Linked DNA regions of Drosophila melanogaster. Changing the gene in region 4 together with the main gene of any one other region gives a genetic interaction. Each region holds a gene or a part of one and is shown on either strand. Other genes may lie near its edges.

Evidence for each region.
Region 1: of okr (region 4) and mei-W68, changing one suppresses a phenotype caused by changing the other (phenotypic suppression), as found in Drosophila melanogaster (2 studies listed by BioGRID).
Region 2: of okr (region 4) and vilya, changing one suppresses a phenotype caused by changing the other (phenotypic suppression), as found in Drosophila melanogaster (one study listed by BioGRID).
Region 3: of okr (region 4) and Hus1-like, changing one suppresses a phenotype caused by changing the other (phenotypic suppression), as found in Drosophila melanogaster (one study listed by BioGRID).

The regions. Positions count from the first base shown.
Region 1 is NT_033778.4:19,454,192-19,460,062, forward strand, and holds mei-W68 (meiotic W68), read left to right. Parts: upstream 1-1,978; 5' UTR 1,979-2,784; intron 2,785-3,780; 5' UTR 3,781-3,860; coding exon 3,861-4,227; intron 4,228-4,285; coding exon 4,286-4,914; 3' UTR 4,915-5,332; downstream 5,333-5,871. Other genes in the region: CG7744 (uncharacterized protein), read left to right, coding at 1-10, 62-979. UniProt on the Drosophila melanogaster protein: Required for meiotic recombination. Together with mei-P22, mediates DNA cleavage that forms the double-strand breaks (DSB) that initiate meiotic recombination.
Region 2 is NC_004354.4:2,725,007-2,728,118, forward strand, and holds vilya (vilya), read left to right. Parts: upstream 1-1,671; 5' UTR 1,672-1,700; coding exon 1,701-2,221; intron 2,222-2,285; coding exon 2,286-2,478; 3' UTR 2,479-2,562; downstream 2,563-3,112. Other genes in the region: fs(1)Ya (female sterile (1) young arrest), read left to right, coding at 1-1,485; dwg (deformed wings), read left to right, coding at 2,826-3,112. UniProt on the Drosophila melanogaster protein: Required for the formation of DNA double-strand breaks during meiosis together with narya and nenya.
Region 3 is NT_033777.3:4,807,833-4,813,818, forward strand, and holds Hus1-like (Hus1-like), read right to left. Parts: upstream 4,265-5,986; 5' UTR 4,151-4,264; exon of another isoform or gene 3,612-4,150; intron 2,956-3,611; exon of another isoform or gene 2,840-2,955; intron 1,443-2,839; 5' UTR 1,428-1,442; coding exon 591-1,427; 3' UTR 504-590; downstream 1-503. Other genes in the region: Gmppb (GDP-mannose pyrophosphorylase B), read left to right, coding at 5,971-5,986. UniProt on the Drosophila melanogaster protein: Component of the 9-1-1 checkpoint clamp complex. Involved in both meiotic and somatic DNA damage responses.
Region 4 is NT_033779.5:2,989,044-2,994,744, forward strand, and holds okr (okra), read right to left. Parts: upstream 3,717-5,701; 5' UTR 3,667-3,716; coding exon 3,664-3,666; intron 3,607-3,663; coding exon 2,292-3,606; intron 2,236-2,291; coding exon 2,082-2,235; intron 2,024-2,081; coding exon 1,618-2,023; intron 1,557-1,617; coding exon 1,393-1,556; intron 1,337-1,392; coding exon 1,024-1,336; 3' UTR 551-1,023; downstream 1-550. Other genes in the region: Bem46, read left to right, coding at 1-38, 116-294, 354-468; CG3558 (uncharacterized protein), read left to right, coding at 4,692-5,365, 5,631-5,701.

The DNA.
Region 1 (5,871 bases), on a different chromosome or scaffold from region 4:
ATCCTTTATAGTAAGTGCATTTACTTATATTTGAATCTTATTTAACAAATTCTTTAAACAGCTGGTGGGAAGTTTTGTAACCCTTGTTTTGTTGGCCACCAACCGGACCAATCTGTTGAGCCAAGTGAATCGGGACGAGTCTGCCTGTGAGAGCTTCCATCGCCTCTGTGCGGACGAATGCGATGATGAAACGCTGAGCATGCTCAGTCAGCAGTTAAGTGGATACAGTGATATCAGCAATAGCAATTTGTCCATGCGAACCGCCTCTGTGTGCCACTCACCCGCCCCAACGATTTCCCAGCGAACAATTCAGGCGCCTGCTTCTTTGCTGTCCCTGGACTCGTTGCATCTGTCGAAGCAACGGATGGAACAGCAGGCTTGGTCCTCGAACTATGGAGATGCCTCTACAGTGGTTGCCCCGCGTGTCCAGCCGGCGATGATGTTTCAACAGAAACCCATGAGACCATTAGAGTCCCAATGGTATCGCCATGGACAAAGTAACCTGGCCCAAGGCAATACTTTCACTAGATCCACGCAAAATCTTTTGATGCCATCGCGTTTGCCGTCCATAAACAGGAACGTCGGCGGAGCTGATGTAAGCGCCTGGGTGGCGGCCAATCAAAGTGTGAACCAAGATCTATGCACTGCCAATCTAATGAGACATTACGAAGAGAAACAGCAGAATCAACTTTCCCGCACTTCGTCACAATCTTCTGGATTTGAGTCGCAGCCACGTCCAGAAGCCCAATGCGGAACAGGTGCTGCAACTGTAAGGGACTACGGCTGGTCCGAAGCCCGTGAGAGTCAGCGAAATTTCGCAGTTTTTCCGCCAATGCCGTCACCTACACCCACAATAACGCCTAGTGAATATCAATACTCGAGGACTGCTCTTCCGCAGCAACAGCCAACTATGCAGCCGGGGGATTTACTTAGGAAGTGGATTGAGATTAACTCAAAATCCTCACAGCCAATACACTAATGTGATGTGAGGTCATAAATATCTAGAAAAACTTAGAAAAAATTCTGGAAAAGATCACCGCCAGTTGGGAAATTATATAAATTTGACTTAACTTAATTATCAAATAATTTATTTTTGACTTACAGTTTTTAAGCTTCTTTATTCTACTAAAGGTTAGTCCTCCCTTTACTTATAATCGACTAAATAAGTAGTGTTTAGCTAGACATTCTTTAATCTGTGTAGCTCTAAGTTTCGTGGTTTTCAATATAGAACTTTTCAGGGAATTGAAAGTCAGGGAGTAAGATTAGAAGGTAATATAAATACTACTTGATTTTAAAGGGAGAATAAAGCTTTGGTAACTAAGTTATTTATTCATTGAAGACAATCATTCAAAGTTTGTTTTTATCGTTAACTAAACTTTTGTGACTCACATAAACTAGATAAATTGTTTATTATACAAATACATATTTTTTGAAATAAAAGCAAAACAAAAAAATGGTTATTATTTTGTTAAGTTAAGTGCAGTTATAAGAAAATATTCATTATCAAGTTAAATTCAATAATAACAGTGACCTGTCTTTTTGGTTGTTTTTCTCTTTTAAAAAATGTTATATTGTTCTCTTAGATTTCAGAACACGCTCTCTTAGTGCAGTGCTGCCAGTTGGTTAACGGCGCGGTGTAGAAATCAAAGTGGCCGTTTCCAAAGTCGGCACGGCACTTCAAAAATTCATACATTTGCCCCTGAAAGTATGTTGTTTATGTTGTTGTTAATATTGAACAAATATATTATGAATTTAAATTATCTTAATAAACAATTATGTATATAAGGTTGTGTAGCCTCTAACCATTCTCGAATGTAAAATTTAGCTGGTTATTTCAAATTACACATTAATCAATCAGTCTGTGGGCGCGGTTTTTAGATGACAGCTTGCTGTATATTTAGTATATAAGTAGTAACAGGAGAAAAAGTTTAGTATTTTTGAATACCGTCCAGCTGGCAACACTGCTACAATATGGCTGCCGTATCGTAATGTGAATTTTTTTGAGAGACCGAGACGTACATACTTTTGTTGCTGCCAAAGTGGATGTGGACGGAGGAAAATAGTAATATTTAACTGCGTTGCGGGAGCGGGACAATCGTCGTTTGCCAATTGCGGCCACCGCTTATGTCGGCTAATCGGCTATCAATAATATTAGTAATCGTATCAATATCAAGTTACCCATTACCCATCGCGGATACACATTAGTTTTGCGAAGGGCAGAGCAGCGCAGAGCATATAGCGAATATTTCCATTTGTTGCCAACAAGACTGTCGTTGTTGTTGTTATTATTGTGGCTTTTCAGTGACTGGGGAGAGCAGTGGGGGTGCGTTCGTAATCCTTGTGAAAAATCGGTGACCGTTCTTCTTAAAAAAAAAGCGAAAGAAAAAACCATCGCGATAAGAAAATATAAGAAAGAAAAATCTGATTGAAAACCAAAGAGCTGCTGCTACTGCTGCTGTGCGAGTGAGAGCGGTCGAGAGGTAGCTAGTGAGCGAGTGAGAAAGCTATGTATTGCATTTGCATTTCGTTGTGTGTGTCGTCGTTTTCGTTCGGTAAAAGTCGGTAAAAAGCAGAGCCTTTCCAAACCTAACCACTTTCGGGTAAACGGAATCGGAAAAGGAACTGGGAAAATCGAAAGAAATTAAATAATAATATGCGTTACATCGATGGCAACAACAACAACAACAGCAGCGACCATCAGCTAGCGACTCCTCTCTGAGCGAGAGAGCTAATAGCTTTTCAGCTTTAGCTTTTCTTGGGCCAATCGGAAATTGTATTTCATTGGTAAGTACAAGAAGTGGCAGCACCATAACCAGCAAATCAATACTTGGGCTGCCATTCCGTTTCGTTCCGTTCGTCAGTTTTCCTAGCCCATTCGTTGGCGCTCTCTCTTTTCCGTCAGTCTCTCTCTTTCTCTTCCCCAAAAGAGAGCGAAAACCCCCCGCCCGCCCACACTCGGTGTATGTGTGCTTTGTAATAACGAGTACACTTTTCTGCACATACGAAAAAGAAGGAAAAAAGAATAATAAAATAAGAAGAAAAAATGAAAGACCGAATAAAGAAATTCACATAAACTTATGGCACTCTCCCTCGCGCTCTCTTCATTTGCAACTAGTGTGCGTGCTTAAATTTTTAAAAAACAGTTGTTTTCACCGAAAGGGAATTTTCATTTCGATGGTATATTTTTAGCCAGCAAGCTCCTTTCGGAAATTATTTATAACCCCCCTCGAAATGTTTCCACGCAACGATTTACGCGATAAACTTTTACAAAATCAGATATAAGTAAGTGCAAAGACCACTTGATTTTCGTATAGTATGTAAGTCCACGAATTGCTTACGTATTTATGAAATATTACTGTGCGTAGGTCGGTGGGCGTGTTTCAACGTTTTAGCCCACAGTTTTCACTCATTTTCCTGCGGGGTTTCCGCTTGTGACAAAGGCATTCAAAGAACCAACAAGAAAATCCCGGGGGCGTGGCACCACCCATGCAATTAAATTAGACCAAAAAAGTGCTTACACTTTGTATTCTAGAGAATGTTTCAAATCATTGAACATAAACAGAAGAATTCATGCGAATTTAGAACTAATGGAAATTGGGAGCAAGGATACATAAAGTTGGAGGAATTCAAAAATGTAATTGTTTAAAATTTAAGCGTTAGTAACCAAGTTCTTGTTAAAATATATGCCGCTTAATTAAGTTTAAATCTGTTATTCACAAGTAAAATTATATTTATTATTAATTTCTCTTAATTTGGATATTAAAAAACCTCATTTTGTAGATTGCAAGAGTACGAAATCAAGAAGACGTACATATTTGTTGTTAAGAATCCGTTCCTAATATAAGTAAATTGCTAGAACAATGGATGAATTTTCGGAGAATATAGAAAGAATTGCCCTCGAGTTGCTGAGCAACTTGGTTCATGGCAATGCCACTCTTAGTGTTCCCCGAAATTCATCCGGAAACGTGATCTCGGAATATCGACGAGTCAGCTATAATAATCGCGGAAGTCGCCATAGCTTTTGCGTGCTGATTTACATGCTCTCCCGGGTGCACCGATTGCAAGTCCGCGGAGGAAGTTTCACCGTCCGTGGACTATACTATGACAATCCTCTGCTAGTCCGGTCGCAGTCCAGGATTGCCGAAGCCAGGCTAGATGTCTGTCGTATGCTGAGGACATCCCCCCTAAGCTTGGGCATACTGGCCGCCTCCAAGGGCCTGGTGGCAGGTGAGTTTATCTCGAAATCCTGATCAAAGGCTCCCTGCTCATCCGGTTACTCTTGCAGGCGACTTAAGGCTGCTGATGACCAACGGAGACGTTCTGGACAGCAGCTTGTATGGTGGACCTCTGACATTGCCCACGGATCCCGAGAAGATAGATCGAATCGAAACGCTGGCGGAATTTGTGCTAATCGTTGAAAAGGAGTCGGTTTTTGAGAGTCTCTTATCCAGAAATGTATTTGGTACTTTTGAACGACGCTTCATCCTTATAACTGGAAAAGGATACCCCGATTGCTGTACCCGGAGGATTGTCCATCGGCTCACCGAGGAGAACCAACTGGCGGCCTACATTCTCGTTGACGCCGATCCATTTGGCGTCGAGATAATGCTAGTCTATCGCCATGGCTCGAAGTCCATGAGTTTTTCCAGCCAAGGACTAACCACACCTGCGCTGCGTTGGATTGGTCTACACCCCTCGGAGATTCCCGCACTCGGCACTGGAGCGGTTGCCCTGGTTGCCGGCGACAACAAGAAAATCAATGACCTCCTCGCCCGCCACGATTTGGAGCCGGGAGTGCGGCAGGAACTGCGCATGCTGCAGGACGTTCAGCTGAAGGCCGAAATCGAGAGTGTCATCGACTTCCTGACCGACGACTATATACCAAATAAAATCAATCGGAACTTGTTTTTGTAGAGTTCAGTGGTAAACCCCATAAGCCAAATATTATTACTCTTGAAATATTATTAGTTAGTTTAAAATATGTTGTAGGTATAGTAATATAGTAATTAGTTTGTAAAAAACGTATCTCTATAAAGATACCATAAGACTCCTAAAAATAGTACTGTAAAAGTTAGTTCGCGTAATCAGCTTTCCATTAATATTTGAATTAATTAAGATAGTAATTTAATAATTAAATTCCCCATTCATTGGGATTCCGATTTTGTTGCTTATGTTATAAAATGTAATGTTTAATTTCAATGCAGCTTTAATAACGTCAATATAATATTACGACTAATTAATATTAAAGTACCTTAAGATCCTTGCCTTTAGAAAACATAATTTTAATATTTGGATAACGGATAATAGTAATTTACACTCGTAATGTCTGAGTAATCTGCTTCTAGTGTTTCGTATTGAGTGGTCAACTTGATTTTCTGCATTACTTTGTGTGGACGAAGCCAGTAAACTCAAGCAGACAAAGGAGATTATTTTTTTTATTGTGCCTCTAAAGTGTTATGGCTTGAGGTCGGTAATCGGAGCCGGTAATTGGCTACGTTTTTGATAATGGCAAGTGAATGGCCAGTCATATTATAGGTGCCGAAAGATACAAGTAGTCTGCTTTGTTTAGATCCATACTAATTGCGTGCATTTATTTCTTGCAGATGTGAAGGAGTACCACGGATGATAGAAACCCATTGGGCATTTGACTACTTTTAAGCACCGAAACCTGAAAGACTCCCGAAAATACTCGAATCTCACGTGCAGAATCTCTAAGAATCCCTATTGGACTGTTTAAAAATATGTCGACAGCAATGCGCACCACACTGCAGTCAGTTCCTGAGGCCCTGCCAGCGGATAGCGTGTCCAATGGCACAGCATCCAATGTAGCAGCACCGGCGGCGCCAGTATCGAGCGCAACAAACGCGGTGC
Region 2 (3,112 bases), on a different chromosome or scaffold from region 4:
CGCTCCATTGGCCAACTGGGCGTGAATCCGTCCGAAACGATGGAGAAGGGCAAGGTCATACGCTCGACGTCCACACCACTGCACGTGGAGTCCGTGTTCGCCAAGCCCAAGGAGCCGATTACCTTCAATGCTTCCACTGGCGGCCACGTGTCCAGCATCTACCACGAGGAGCCCAGTCCGACACCCGAAAGCAATCCCGTCCAGCAGCAGCAGCAGCAGCAGCAGCCGTTGCAGCAGCGCGCCTGGAAAATGGGCGCCCGCAACAAGATGAGCGCCGCAACGCCGCTGCGCCAGGTCATGTCCAAGAGCATTCAGAAGGCCTTCGTCGAGCACGGCGGCATGATGGTCCACCAGCCACCATCCGCAGTGGTGCAACGTCGCGTGCGCCTCGATCTCAGCGAGCACAGTTCGCACGAGGCAGCAGGCTCGTCCGCTCTGGACCTGCGACTCTCGCCAGCTATGCGGCGCACCCAGAGCGAGTCCAGCGCCTCGGAGGTCAACAGCGGCAGCAGCTCCAGCTACAGCACCTCGCGGAATGCCGATCTATGCAAGCGGCAGTTCTTGCTGTCCGCACAGAAACTCACCACCGAGTCGATCATCATCACGCGGACGAACTCCAGCTCACAGAAGACCTCTTCCACGGTGTACAACTCATGCGAGAGCGTCGAGATCATACGCTCCACCTCGGAATCAGCGGAAGTGTGCCACGTGCCGGCCATAACGCCCATCCGTGTCACCGGTGCCGGCATCAACAAGAAGCAGATCAAGTTCGAGACGCCGCCCAAGAGCAGCCAACAGATGCGATCGAATGGCGAGGGCGATGAAACCAAGGACCAGTTTTTCACGCCGGAACCGGGAACGCCGGAAATTCCAGAGCGTCGTCATCGCCAGGCGATTGTGCCGCGCCAGCTGAGCGGCGAGTTTTCGCCCAAGAAGGATAAGCCGAAGGAGAAGGGGCTGGCGGTGATGGCCCTGATCTCGCCGCCATTGCAGCAACCCAGGGTGCGTCCTCCGTTGCGGGAATGCCGTCAGCAGAGGGTCTATAGCGGCGTGCAGGATGTGGGCGAGCCGGAGGTCGTGGACGCAGAAGAGGAGGACGAGGTGTTCCGCCCCACAAACGCCTCCACGTGCAACGACAAAAAGCTGGAGGCGCCCAACTCCGGTCGCCTGTGGTCGCTGATGAGTTCCATGATGCGACTGCCGGCCAGCTTGCGCGGCGAACGCGAAAAGGACAGGGACAGGGACAGGGATTCGGATAAGGAGAACGCTGGTTCGGGCTCACTCATCCGTCGCTGCGCCTCCATCGCTGGATCCCTGGTGCGCCCCAGTGCAAGGGACTCCTCCATGGAGGACCAGCAGTGCCTCAAGAGAAAGCGCACTCAGACGCTGGACAGCCAGTACTGTAGCCCGCTGTCGCCGTCCAGCTCCTCGAAGCGCTACCGCATCCGGCCCAGGGAGCCCATCGAGCGCATGCGTCGCCAGTAGGTTTTAAGCTTTTGCCTGCGAATCTGTGTTTTAATTGTGAAATTCTTCTTTTTTTTTATCGTTTAATAAATGTTTGGTCTTGCATTAACCGTTATGCGCAGCAGGAGTTGGCAGGTCCAGGAGCTTAGCTCGTCTCATTCAGAGCTGCCAACTCTATCTATTGATTCTGTTATTAATTAGTTGCGCACAAGATCGAAAAGCTTAACGGAGCGCCCATGGCGAAATCACAAGCAGGTCAGACTGTCGAGCCGGAGGCGTCCAAGCTGTGGATCCACTGCAACAGCTGCTGCGCCCTGTTCTGCGATAAGAAGCACACCTTCTTCCTGCTCGCCTGCCATCACGTGTTCTGCGAGCGGTGCGTCAAGGTCTCCGCCGGCCGCACGCCCAGCGACGCGCCCATATTCGAATGCTCCACCTGTCGGCGGAGCGTGCGCGGCCGCCAGTTGACCAACTCGATGCCCAACCACTTCAAGCAGCTCTTCCATCCGGAGCCCTTCACCATCGGCAACGACTTTGTGGAGACGTTCCAGCGCGGCAATCATCGGCACTTCGACAAGTACAAGGAGAGGAAGGAACTGGAGATGGATAAGCTGTTCAAGGACATCGAGGTGGCCAAGTCCGTGTGCCAGAAACGCTTCCTGGAGGCGCAGATGCTGCGCGTGGAGCGCAAGAAGCTGATGCAGAGGTCGCGCTACATTAAGGCGGAAGTCGCCAATCGGAAGGCGGAAATGCATCGGTGCGACATTTGGATTCCATTGAAAATAGTTCCCATTAATGCATTATATTTCTACCCGCCTTAGGATGGCCCAGGCCTACCGAAGCCGCTCGCTGACTTCGCAATCCTCGTCATCCGCCCAACGCTCGGCGCGCGGACGTCCTCGTGGCCGTGGAACAGCCACACAGTCCTCCAGTCGACGCCGATCAACGGAATCAGCAAAGCGGCAGCAAATCACCAGCTTCATACACCCGCCGAACAACTCGTTCGATCTGTGAGCTAGTGCTGATAGGTAAAGCTCTGTTTTACAACCGAGTATATATTTTTTGTAAATAATCAGCTTAAAACAATAAAATGGTGTCATAAGCTTTAAAATAATAAACTGCTAAGTTAACAGCGACCGTTAAGTTTCAATTAACAGTTTCGTTAGGATAACAGAAGTGTTGAAAGTGAATTCGATTAATCGAAATCCATCGATGACTGCTGCACCGATAATATCGCATAAGCATCTGCTCTAAAAACGCATAAAAATTGAATTGCAAGAAGTAGAAGAGCGAAACGTCATAAAAGCGGCAAATCCGGCGCTGTCCGACAAGAACCACAGGGGAAAGCGGATAAGGACATCATGATGAATAGCAAGATCGCCGAGGTAGTGGTGCTCAACTGCCGGACGTGCACGCGTGCCTGCAAGCTGCACAAGCCGCTGCAGGAGGAGATCGATCTGGGTTCGGAGGGCAGCACCACGCTGGCCAGCATGCTAAACTACTGCACGGGACTCTCGTTCGAGCCGCAAGACGGCGCCGCCATGCCGCAGCACATCTGCCTCCACTGCCTGCAGCTGCTGGAACAGGCGTTCAACTTCAAGCGCATGGTCATCGATTCGGACGAGCTGCTCCGCCTGGGCCTGGACGA
Region 3 (5,986 bases), on a different chromosome or scaffold from region 4:
AGCCTCTGAGAGAGAACGCGAAATGGGGCCACGGCTGCTGACGAATGTGGGACAGGCAGCGAAGAGCGACGATAAAAAGAGCCGCCCCAACTTTCGTTCACTGATAAGGCCCGATATCGTTTAGGCAAACATTACTACTTGCAAACGACGTGAAAGGTTGCTTCTCTCCAAGAATTATTAGGTACATTCAAAAATGTATTGAAGATTTTTACTCAACATTCAAGTAATGCATCAATAGCCAAAAGGGTCCTAGCGAACTAAATTTTAAAATAAATATGCAAGAAGAAACAAACAGCGCTGGTAATGTGTTTTTATATACATACATATGTAAATAAATAAATATGACCCGCAGAATATCGTAGAACGTGTTCAATCCTGCTAGATTTACTAACAAGAAAAATTCTACATTAGTTGTAAAAGAGATAATTGTTCAAGCGATAACGCATGATGATGCGGATAGGGTCGCAAAAAGATAATTTAAATTAACATCGACGAGTTTTTCTGGAAAAGAATTAAGTGAGAACGTTTATTACACCTGAATACATCAAGTCGCATTTATTACAGCTATGATAAACATACCAGCTCTTAGGCTACATACAAACAGCTGGCAGAATAGAGTGCAGAACCACATCCTGTCGTACATCGATCTGCAGATGGATGGAATGCTCACGGTCAATGCCAATAGTCAGTTCTTCGTTAGGGAGTTGAAGTGCTCCAAAGAAGGCCGAGGCTTTCCTTGAATCCACAGAGCAGGACGCTTCCTGCTGGGATCCTGACACAGTTCGAATTAGTAATTTCTGGAATCGACTAGTCACAGTGGACATTTCAGAGGTGGCTATTACATTGAGCTCTCCGTCCACGTTGACCTGAAACTCCAGGCTGGGTGATATATTCTTCAGCTTGTCAATGAGACTTTTGAGCAATCTTAGGCTTGGTAGGCCCAAAGCCAACTGTGAGTTTGGAACTCTGGGTACAACGTAGGCAGACCAATCGCTGCCCGGGATTATGGTCACTGGAACATCGTGCACCACTTCACGGGCTTCTGTTGAAGACGACGTAAGCACCGAGGCTATTACCGAAATGCACGGAAACTGAATTCTTTGAAGCTTCAGTTTGCAGCTGTTTACGCCTCCACCACGAAGCACAGATAAAGCTCTTCCGAGATTCGCCGAAGACACGCCTAGAACTATGTACTCCTGATCCGGGTGAGCAGCCTCCATGCGATACTCCGGAAAATACTCCTCAGCTGTAATTCCTGCCCAAACCAAGGGCGATGCAGCGGAGCTCTGATCCTCGTTCACGATAAAATGCATCTGCCGAGAGCCCAGAATCATCACACAATCTTTCGCCAGCTTGGTTAAAGTGGCCACAATGGCCTGGAACTCTTTCATGTACAGCGGATCCTGCATCAGTGCGCGGAACTTCATCTTGTCAGCAAAGAACTGTACAAGATCAGAGCAGGATCGTAATGATCAGGAAATAAAGGGAGAAAAAAGAACAAAAAACAGAGTCAAGCCGGGCAACCAAAAACTAAAAAGGCATCCAAATCTACGCAGCGTTCCCTTAGGGTTGCCGTTCGCTAAATCTCAAATATTATACAAAATAGTTTTCATTTTCCATATAACCATAGCGCTGAGACTGAAATCTGGGCTATCCAATAACTGTAGAATTCGCAATTGTTAAAAATGCAACAATGCATAATGGTCATTGCAATATTTTGATTTATTATAAAAATCGATTTGTATGGAACAGGGGAAAAAGAGCTAACCCAAGCTCAATATTTCAGATGTTCAACAGTTTATAGTACACCCTAATTCAGAGGAATTGCATTAAATGCCATTTGTTAGCACTAATCCTATTTGAGACGACCCAATCAGTCAGTTGATATTTCGAATAAACTGTTTTGCCATTCTCGTAATATTTCATTCTTAGGAATTACACGGATTATTTATTTTTTGATCGGAGTCATTTACGTCCCACTCACTTAACATTTTAGGTAAGTCTTGGATCTGGGATGGACGTCATCTGGGTCAGCAGACGAAGCAACCTGATCAAAGGGTTCTAAGTTGGGATGAAGACGACGAATACGAGACGACTTCGGGACCCCTTTTCGGGTGGTTAATGAGGTGTGTGGACTACGGCACCAGAGGGAGGGGATGGGTCGGTTATCCGACTTGGTCTCCACTCGTTCTCACTCTTTTCTTTTCTTCTCGAGTTCGAATTTTTGAGTTCAATGTACAAAGGCGCACACACACACGGGCGCCAGCGAACCCACACACACAGCACACTCGCTCGTCCATCGCACATACACACGGCGAATGATGAAAACGGAAGAGGGAGGGGGAAGGGAAAGAAGAGCCAGGCAAACAAAGCGCAGAGCGAGTTCCGAGTTGTGTTTTGGCTCTTCTTTTCATTTATTTATTTGTATTTTTGTTGGTGGGCGAAGCGGTGAGCAGAGAGCAGGCTAAACGAAACGGAGCTCGACGAAATGAAGCACGCAGTCAGATACAAAGACTGCCTCGTTCTCCTTGCACACAAAGTCATCAAACGACAGACAGGATTTGTACGGCTCAAGTGTAGGGGCGGCTCCAGGGTTGGCTCCCGGGGCGGGGAGGGTGTTGCCAGGGGGCTCCGGGGGCGGAAATCAAATTATATCCCGTCTAGGGGGTCAAAATATTTCCTTTCGCAGTTCAATCAACCTTCAAGGTTATTGATAATGAAAATGAGCTCAAACGTTTATGCGTGGCAGAGTGGTTAGTGGATAACAAGAAATTTGGCAGTACCTCAGCGATTTTCCATTTGCTTTTAAGAGTTCTTTCAGAAATGAACTGGTACTTACCATATTTTGTTCTTTCCATACACATGGGTTGTTTGAGTTGCTGTATAAGTTGACAAAGCTAGTAATACTATGGCATCAGGAATGAAGGAAGCATACAAAAACTGATGTAATAATCCCTAAAATTCAGAAAAAGTACGTCACTGAGTTCTCCGGGTTGAGTTTTGTTCAGTGCAATGAGGGCTATTTTATGACATTTAGTAGGCCTTTTAGGAAGGGCAACTCTAGCTCGCACGACAGTGCTGCCTATTTGGCAATCAGCTGTTTATTTTTTCTCTTTAAAAATTGACCTATGACGTCACAGCAGCATAGCGAATTTCACAAAGAAGCGAAAAAAAATAATGGCTACACAAATATGTATATATATGTATCTGCTTTCTTGCTGAAACCCTCGCGTCATTGAAACGTATCTAAACGTATGTATCTATGTACATATGTACGTTAACAATTAAATATTAAAATTCAAACAAATGCTGGAGAGGGGAGGAAAGAATATTAAAGTGCTGAAAAGAGGCCAAAAATTGATCAGAAAATAAATATGCTGAGAATAAGAAACGTGATTGCCTTGCAGTCTCACTCACTAACTCACACACACTCACTCTAAATACATACATACATGCTAGCATGGATGGAGCACCACCCGCTGAAGTTTGCAGCATAAATAAAAGAGAAAGTAAAACTAAACAAGATGCGCTCGACCCCCACCCACCCCTTATCAAATAAAAGAAAATACCAACTCGAATAGAATAAAAAGACACACATACGTATTCATCAGTGGATAACCTACACGAAAGACGATCAAAATTGATTTGCGAGAAAATTCTATTCGTAAATTTATCAACTAACTATTTGGAAAATCATTCATTTGGAATTGTAATCACCTATGCACTTTGGTATAAGCTTTTCTGTGCACATTTTCCTGGAAAATGAATGAGACTCCTCGGCAGCCATTGTAAAAATCAATATTGGAGATTGCCCTCAGAAAAAAGTGCACTTAAACCCAGATGTCACTCAATCAAAAACTTCTAATTGGGAAAGCACAAATTTACCACACTTTTCCGAGCCTTCGAAAGGCATAAACCTTCACAAATCGGTGGGAAAAAGTAATAGAGGAAAATACAATTCGGTCGACATTTTGTTTTCCGTCTCGCTGGTGCCTATTTGAAACGTAAGCGTGTGTATGTGTGCGTATGTGTATCTCGTCTGAGCTCGGAGCCCCATAAAATCAGTGGTCAAATTACTTCTTCGTATCGCCATAGGCTCGCCTTTGCAAAGCTTTTTGGTCTCCATGGCGTCCGCAGCAGTCGCACTTACCTTTCAACCAAATGCAGAAGTTTTCTCTAAGTATGCACAGTTTTTATACACTCAGCAATTTTCACACGCGACGGAAAACAATGTGCACCAGTGAGACCGCGTCTTGCTACGAACGACTATCGACATCGAAAACCGATAACGATACCGATGGGGAATGCTTTGTTTATTTGAATGTGAACGATGCATTTGGGGCCTTCCGTTACCTTCGCCGCAGACCGCATTTGGTTTGTAGGCGATATGCATGGTAATTATAATTATAGTGATTTAATTAATTACAATTATAATTGTATTAATGTATACAGAAGTATACTTTATACATAAACTTACATTGAGTTGCGTTTTCAAGAATAAGTATTGCGAAACTTTTAAGTAAGCTATAAAAAGCTGAATTTCTACTGTACATTTTAGGATTTTCTTTTTGATATATTTTGAAATGTAGGGAATAGTCAAAACAGTAATGCCGTTGAAACCTTAGAAACCATCAACCCGTTTTGCTCTCTACAATATTATTCGGGAATGCTCCGGTAATCGAATTCGTAAGAAAATTTTAATTTGTAAAACGGCCTTTTAAAAAGTAAATGCCTTTTTTATATCAAATCAGATCTTATTAACTAAGGGGAAAAAATAGTTTGCTGGTCTATTGATATTTATTAATTGATGTTTATGTTCCACATCACCATAAGATCATTTTTAGACTTAGTTATATTAAACAAAAGTAATTTCTGACCCCACCTGAAATTTGACAAACAAAATTTTGCAGTTGGCAACAAAAAGTTTCGATTTGGCAAGTGTTCATAATTATGTCGACAAAAGCTATCAGGAAGACTGCTATACTATTGGTGAAACAATACAGTATAAACAGTATAAATGCATATAAGATGTAATGAAAAAAAATTCGTAATTAATTTAAAGGAGGGTCGAAAGTACTGTTCGTAAATAATACTATTTAATTTAATTACTTAAATGGACAAAGTGCAGTGCGAACATCGGAACTAAAACTGTGAAAAAATTGGTCGCTCCATTGTCTGGAATACAGCTTAGACATCTGTTTCCTGTTTACAAAACATTCCGATCGCAAAAATTCCGCGAAAACCCGAGCACCTAAAAACGAAGTCGAAAGATTTTGCCAAATCGTAATCGAAAAAATATTACTATTACCGGAACATGCCTGATTGTGGTCTTTAGATAGGTTATTTAATTTAAATTAAACTGAAAAGTATTTTTTAAGATTCTTCAATTTAACAAGAAATGAATTTTAATAAATTTTATTAATTTAGCGTAAAATGTTCGGTGGAATCCGGCTATCAGCGCTGCTGCGAGTGGGACGAAGCGCAATCATCGCCATCTTCCGATAGTGTTATCCCAACTTTGCCAGCTCGGTTTTTATTTACTTTCCTGTGCGGCGAGTTTACTCATAAAACAAATGATAATAAAATACACAAAGACCATATTGAATGTTCAATGACAAGATCGATATTCCTAAGCCTTGAAAACGTCCATCTAAAACTAATAGAAACTATTATTGTTTTGGGACAGGCAAGTGCATCCAACCAGAAGCACAAAGGTTCTTATCACGAAAAAAGACAATTCCAAAAACAACAACAAGGAAATAGATAGCGCAACAAGGTGAGTAAACAATAAACTAAAGACAACCAACTGAGTCACTCACTTGCCTTCGTCGATTGCAGTTGTTTGACCGCTGAAACGGAATCTCGTTGTACGGAGAAAGTCTCGAGAACTTTAAGGTGTGACGTGTCGCTCGCTTACGGACTATAGAAACCGGAGAACGGAAAGGAGGCGGAAGCGGAAGCGGAGAAGTGATGTGTGGAAATCCAG
Region 4 (5,701 bases):
CTGTGAAGTATATACCAAATCTATTATTTAAGAATAAGGTGGGTAGTCGTCGCCGGTTGAGCCCTCTGTTTACTTTATCTCATTACCACATTATTGTTTGTTGTTTCACATGCAGTATCACTCCATGAGCAAGATAGGCAAGTGTTCGGTTCCCTTTTTGTTTATTTCGGGCCTTGCGGACAACTTAGTGCCACCGCGCATGATGCGTGCCTTGTATACCAAATGCGGCAGCGAGATAAAGCGCCTGCTCGAATTCCCCGGCGGATCGCACAACGACACTTGGATAGTGGACGGGTATGGCCGGCAATTAATCTTCACTTTCCCATTTATCCATGGGTGTGCTTGCTTTTTAGGTACTATCAGGCCATCGGTGGGTTTTTGGCCGAGCTGCAGCAACAGCCGCTCCTCAAGGCGCCGGAGAAGAGCAACGTCTGGGTGGAGCTGGAGCATAAAATTATTGATGTATAGACCCGAATACATCAAGTGTTCAATTGACTGTGTTAACACTGCGAATGGTTTAATACTTATACATATACACACGCATAATATTAATCTGTATCTGACAGGGTTTTAATCCGGACGTTGCTATACGCCAAATTGCTTTTTATGTGCAGAGAATAACGTGCTAGCGGAGATGGCTGTTGATTTTAAGTAACCAACTTAAATAACTTTGCGCTTAAGCAAGTGAATACACACTAGAATCCGAATTTCGATGTTTGCTTGTATTTGTCCTAAGCTATGTTAACCTACTACTTTGCCCGATTGGCGGCCAGTTAAGAGTATAGAAATTGATCAGTATTTCACAAAAAAGTAAACTATTTTCTGGACTGACTCCTACATTGCCAGATTAGTTTATAGAAGCCTTCACCCCTAGCACGTTAACATTTTGTGCTGGTTCCATTTTTGAAATGTTAAATTAATAACTTGTTAGGATTGCAAAGGAAGCCAGAAAAAGTTATCTTAAGTTTAGACTTAAGTGCGAAGAAAAAGGAAATTCGAGAAACAATAAACTGCAAACAATTGCTAGAATCCACGGAAGTCCTCATCGGCACTGTCATCACTGGCGGGCGTGGATGATCGTTTGCGGCTTTCTGGTTTTTCCTCTGGCTGATCTGTTGCTTCCTCCTCAGCACTCGGCACAATTTCCTGAGCCTGCGATCGGTGGTGGAAGACAAAGGACACGCACTTGCAATCCATCCAGGCCTGGGCGAGAATATTGTCAGGCAGGCCTCTGTTGTTGGAGCAATGGTACCATTGTGACAAATGCGAGGTGCAGTCCGTGTCCTCGGGCGGTGGCTTCATTTGTATATTTTGAACGCAGCGCTTACACTTGAGCCTGAAAAGATATGTTACACGATCATGATCTAAAGGGTATCCAAAGCCAGTTCTTACTTGTCGTGTGTGTCGGACAGAATGTTCGCATCAAATGTAAACAAGTCCTTCAGATCGTCGCGGGTGAAATGCTTCTCGGCCGACTCGTTGTTGTCAATGATGGTGCTCGACAGGGATTTTTTGTGCGTCTGTCGCTGCAGGATCTTCTCCTCGATGGAACCACTCTGAAAGAGATTTCTTGAGTTGAAAAAGAAAGTTCCGTGCAGAACCAATTCAGGTACTCACGGCAACGAGGCGATATATGTAACAGGGCTTCTTTTGCCCGTCACGCCACACTCTGGCCATTGCCTGCTCATCGTTGGCCGGATTCCAGTCTGGGTCAAACATGAACAGGCGGTTGGCTCCAATCAAATTCAAGCCGCAGCCGCCAGCCTTGCTGCTCAGCATGAAAAGGAAGCTGTCAGACTCCGGGTCATTGAATCGGTCAACAACCTTCGATCGCTTCTTGATGGACATGGTGCCATCAAGCCGGACAAATCCGTACTTTCGCTTCCTCGCGAGCTGCTCGAACAAGTCCAGGGTCTGTGTGTAATTGGAAATGAGAACCACCTTGTCGTTGCCCTCTGCACGTATTGCTGCCAGCATGAAATCCAGGAGCATGAACTTGCCACTTAGCTCTGGATTGAGATCCCTGGAACACAAAAGATTCATTAATAGCCATTGCTATTCGCGCGCAACAGGCGACGTACTTTGGTTTGTAATTACTAGGCAGCACATTTTGGGAGTTTTCGAATCCCTTTTCCCGCGCAGTGAGCTTCTCATATATGAGATCCGGATGACTGCAAATCTTCTTAAGCGTTGTAATGTCTGCCAGCGCCGTAAGCGAAGCCTTTTCATTGCAATCTTGAAGGGAATTGTAAATGGTAGGAATGTTGTGGTAGTATTGCCTAATGACTTACCCGCCAAACTACGTCGAACTTGATCAGACTTCAAGAAATTCGTGTATAGCTCGAGTTGAATCGCCGTCAGTTTCGCACAGATAACCATTTCAAACTTAACCGGCAGATATTTGGTTAGAATTTGATTAGTGCGACGAATGATGCACTGATCGACCAGACCTATCAGCTCCTGTGTCTTCTCTATGGCCCGTTGTCGCTCCTGTTCCGTGGAGTCAGTATTCTGGCCCCGCAGAATAGCGCTCTCGAAGTTGCGCTTAAACACGGCCGCCGTTCCCAGCATCTCCGGGTTTACAAAGTTCACCAGGCTGTAGTACTCAGTAAGATCGTTCTGGATGGGAGTGCCGGAAAGCAAGACCCGTCGCTTTGTCTTCAGTCCCATGAGAGCCTGATACGTCAGATTGTCGCTGTTCTTGAGGCGATGTCCCTCGTCGCATATCACCATTCCCACCTCGTACTTGCACAGGATCTCCGCGTAGATGCGAAATGTCTCGTAGCTGATGAGCAGAACAGGTGTCCCCAGCCGGGCAGAAGTCATGGAGAACTGCTCGAGTGCTCGGATGGTGTTCTCCTTGGTCCCGCCCTCCATGGGCAGGCAAAGGAGTCGACCGTGAAGCCACTTGGTAAACTCCTTCTCCCAGTTCTTAACCAGCGATGATGGAGACACGACAATGGCTTTGTTGATCGTCGGCTTGCACTCGGGCCCCTGCCTTAGAAGTGTCCAGACCAGCGTTACGCACTGCAGCGTCTTCCCGAGACCCATTTCGTCGGCCATGATGCATCCATTGAAGTTGCCCCGCTTTCCCTCCACACACTCGTACATGAAACGCACTCCCTCGCGCTGGTGCGGCCGCAATATGTTGCTCAGCAGCGGATCGACGACGACGTGCACCAGAACCTTGGTCGGATCCATGCCCATGCGCTCGTGTTCTGTGTAGGCGGGTGGATGGAAGAGTACCAAGGCGTTGCAGGCCATCGGATCGTGTAGGGGTCGTCGGGAAATGCAGCGCCGCACGCCCAGGACCCGTTTACCACCGTAATCCGGTACGTAATTGTCCATGGGCACCTTGAACTTCCGTGCCAGAACCTTGGCAATGGCCAACTCATACTCGCTGTTCGCCGTGAAGCGAATAGGCAGTGGGAGCTCTGATGTGTTGCTGGCATCTCGGAGGGCGCCCAGTCGTCTTCTGTCCAGTTCTTGCTCTCGCTCCAGTTCCTGCTGGCAGGATCGCTTGTTTTTCTTCAGCAGTGGCGGCGTGAAGGAGTGACGGGACTCGGGACGCAGTGGTCCACGTTGGCTGGGAGCCAGACTGCGCCGCTTTAGGAATAAATGATTAGGGAAATGGAATTAAATAAATCAAATTTTTGTATTTACCATTTCATTAAATTCAAATGGCGGTAGCGCGAACAGCTGATAGAAGCGCGGAAGTCTGGTCACACAGGCGATAAGAAATACTGGTAAGTGGAACGCTGGGATAATGAAACAGAACGCATTTAATCAAACTAATACTTGTGATCATAGCACGCTGTTTTAAAAGTGAATAGATAATTAGATAAAAATAAAACTAAAATGGAATTGCTACACCCCGATGTCAAAAATTCCCGATGTATCTCAGGTATAATCGAAACATCGATATGTTATATTGATAGCTGCTCATCGCTAACTTTCTATTTCCGTGCAGATATAATTGTAAATATTTACGCAGAATTGCTTTGGAAACACTACGAAAATAGTGCAAAATGAGGCAATAAAGTGCGGGCCGGACTGCCTTCCCTTTCTTGACTTCAAAACCCGCGCCAAAAGCGCGAATTTCGTGCTGCAAGAACGCAAATCTAGTCCGCAAATCTGCGGAAGTGTTGGTACTACCACTTAATTGTATTTGTAATTGTAATTGCCAAAGTGCCAAAAAAAAAAACGCTGCAAATGCTGCAAGCGTGAAAACCCATCTAAGAAGGGCCACTAAACAGTAATGGGTGTAGATGCACGATGCACGGAGAGCGGAAAGCAGCGGAGACGATGACGATGATCAAATCTAAATTCATCAGGTGAGCGAGCAGCAGCAGCAACAACAACCACAGTGAGTGCCCAAATAGGTGGGCACACGTACACAGGTGTGTGTGTGGCTGTGTGCGTAAGTGTGTCACTTGTTGTTCTTGGGAACATTAGAGAAAAGTAAATAGCGAATATTCAACTAAAGTGCGTCTTCTTTTAGCTTCTAAATATTTAAAAAGCGAGCAACATTGAAATACTCACCACTCACACAGTCGGACAAAAGCACAAAACGAGAGATAACAGAGCACCAGCACCACCAATTCATGCCAAACGAAACGCACACGGAGCAGTTATCAGCGGACCAGCGCCACTAAAAGCCACCGAATCGCACACACACCGCACCGACAACGATGTGGCTGCGCCAGAGCAGCGGTGGAGGCGTTGCCTCCGTCGGACACGTCGGCCCACTGCGACAGCGACCCATCGACGCTGCCACAGACTGCGATCCGCGCGCTTGCTACGACAGCTTCTGTAAGCACTGGCAGCAGGCCTTCGAGATCATCCAGCACAGTGCACCGCCCTCGCACGACGACGTGCTGGGCGTGGTCTCGCACTTGGACTACATGGTCACCCTGCTGCTCGTGGAGCTGCATCACTGCAACAAAGTCTCGCTGCCGGCGGCCGAGGCTAGTGGTCCGCCTGCGGCGCCCTGCCTGGAATTCCTGCTCAGCGAGAATCTGCTGGACAAGCTGTACGAGTGGGCCTGCACCACGGGACGGTATGCCAACGCTGTGAGGCTGGAGCAGCTGAAGCTGTACGAACTGCTCGTCAGCCACTCGCGCCACCAGCTGCTCTGCCACGAGCCCTTCCTGCGACCCCTGCTCAAGATACTGGCATCCAGCCAGGGCGAGATCTTTCCGCCCGATCTCGAGAAGCGCCTGGTGATCCTGCTGAACCAGCTGTGCGTGGTTCTTATGCAGAATGTCCACCTGCTGGACCTCTTTTTCTTCTCCGCCCAGACGCAGGTGCAGGAGCAGATATTAAATGGCAACGTGGCGCCACCCAAAAGCGGAACCACTACCAAGTAAGCTCATAACTTTTAAACATTCCAATTCATTCAGCATAAAAAAGAATAGCGATAAATGAATATTTGTGTAATGATTCATCGCGTAATAGCGACATTAGCCAGATAAGGCAATACTAAAAAAGTGACCCTGTAATATTCCAATTACGAGTGATGAATCCACTTGACTTGTTCCATTTATCTTCTAAGATTTATATATTTATATTCTAAGACTTTATTATAAGGTATATTCCGTGTCTGATAAATCTTTTATTGATTCTTTTAGCTTCATAATATTTTCGCTGCTTATCCCGTACGTGCATCGCGAAGGCAGTCTTGGTCACCAAGCGCGCGATG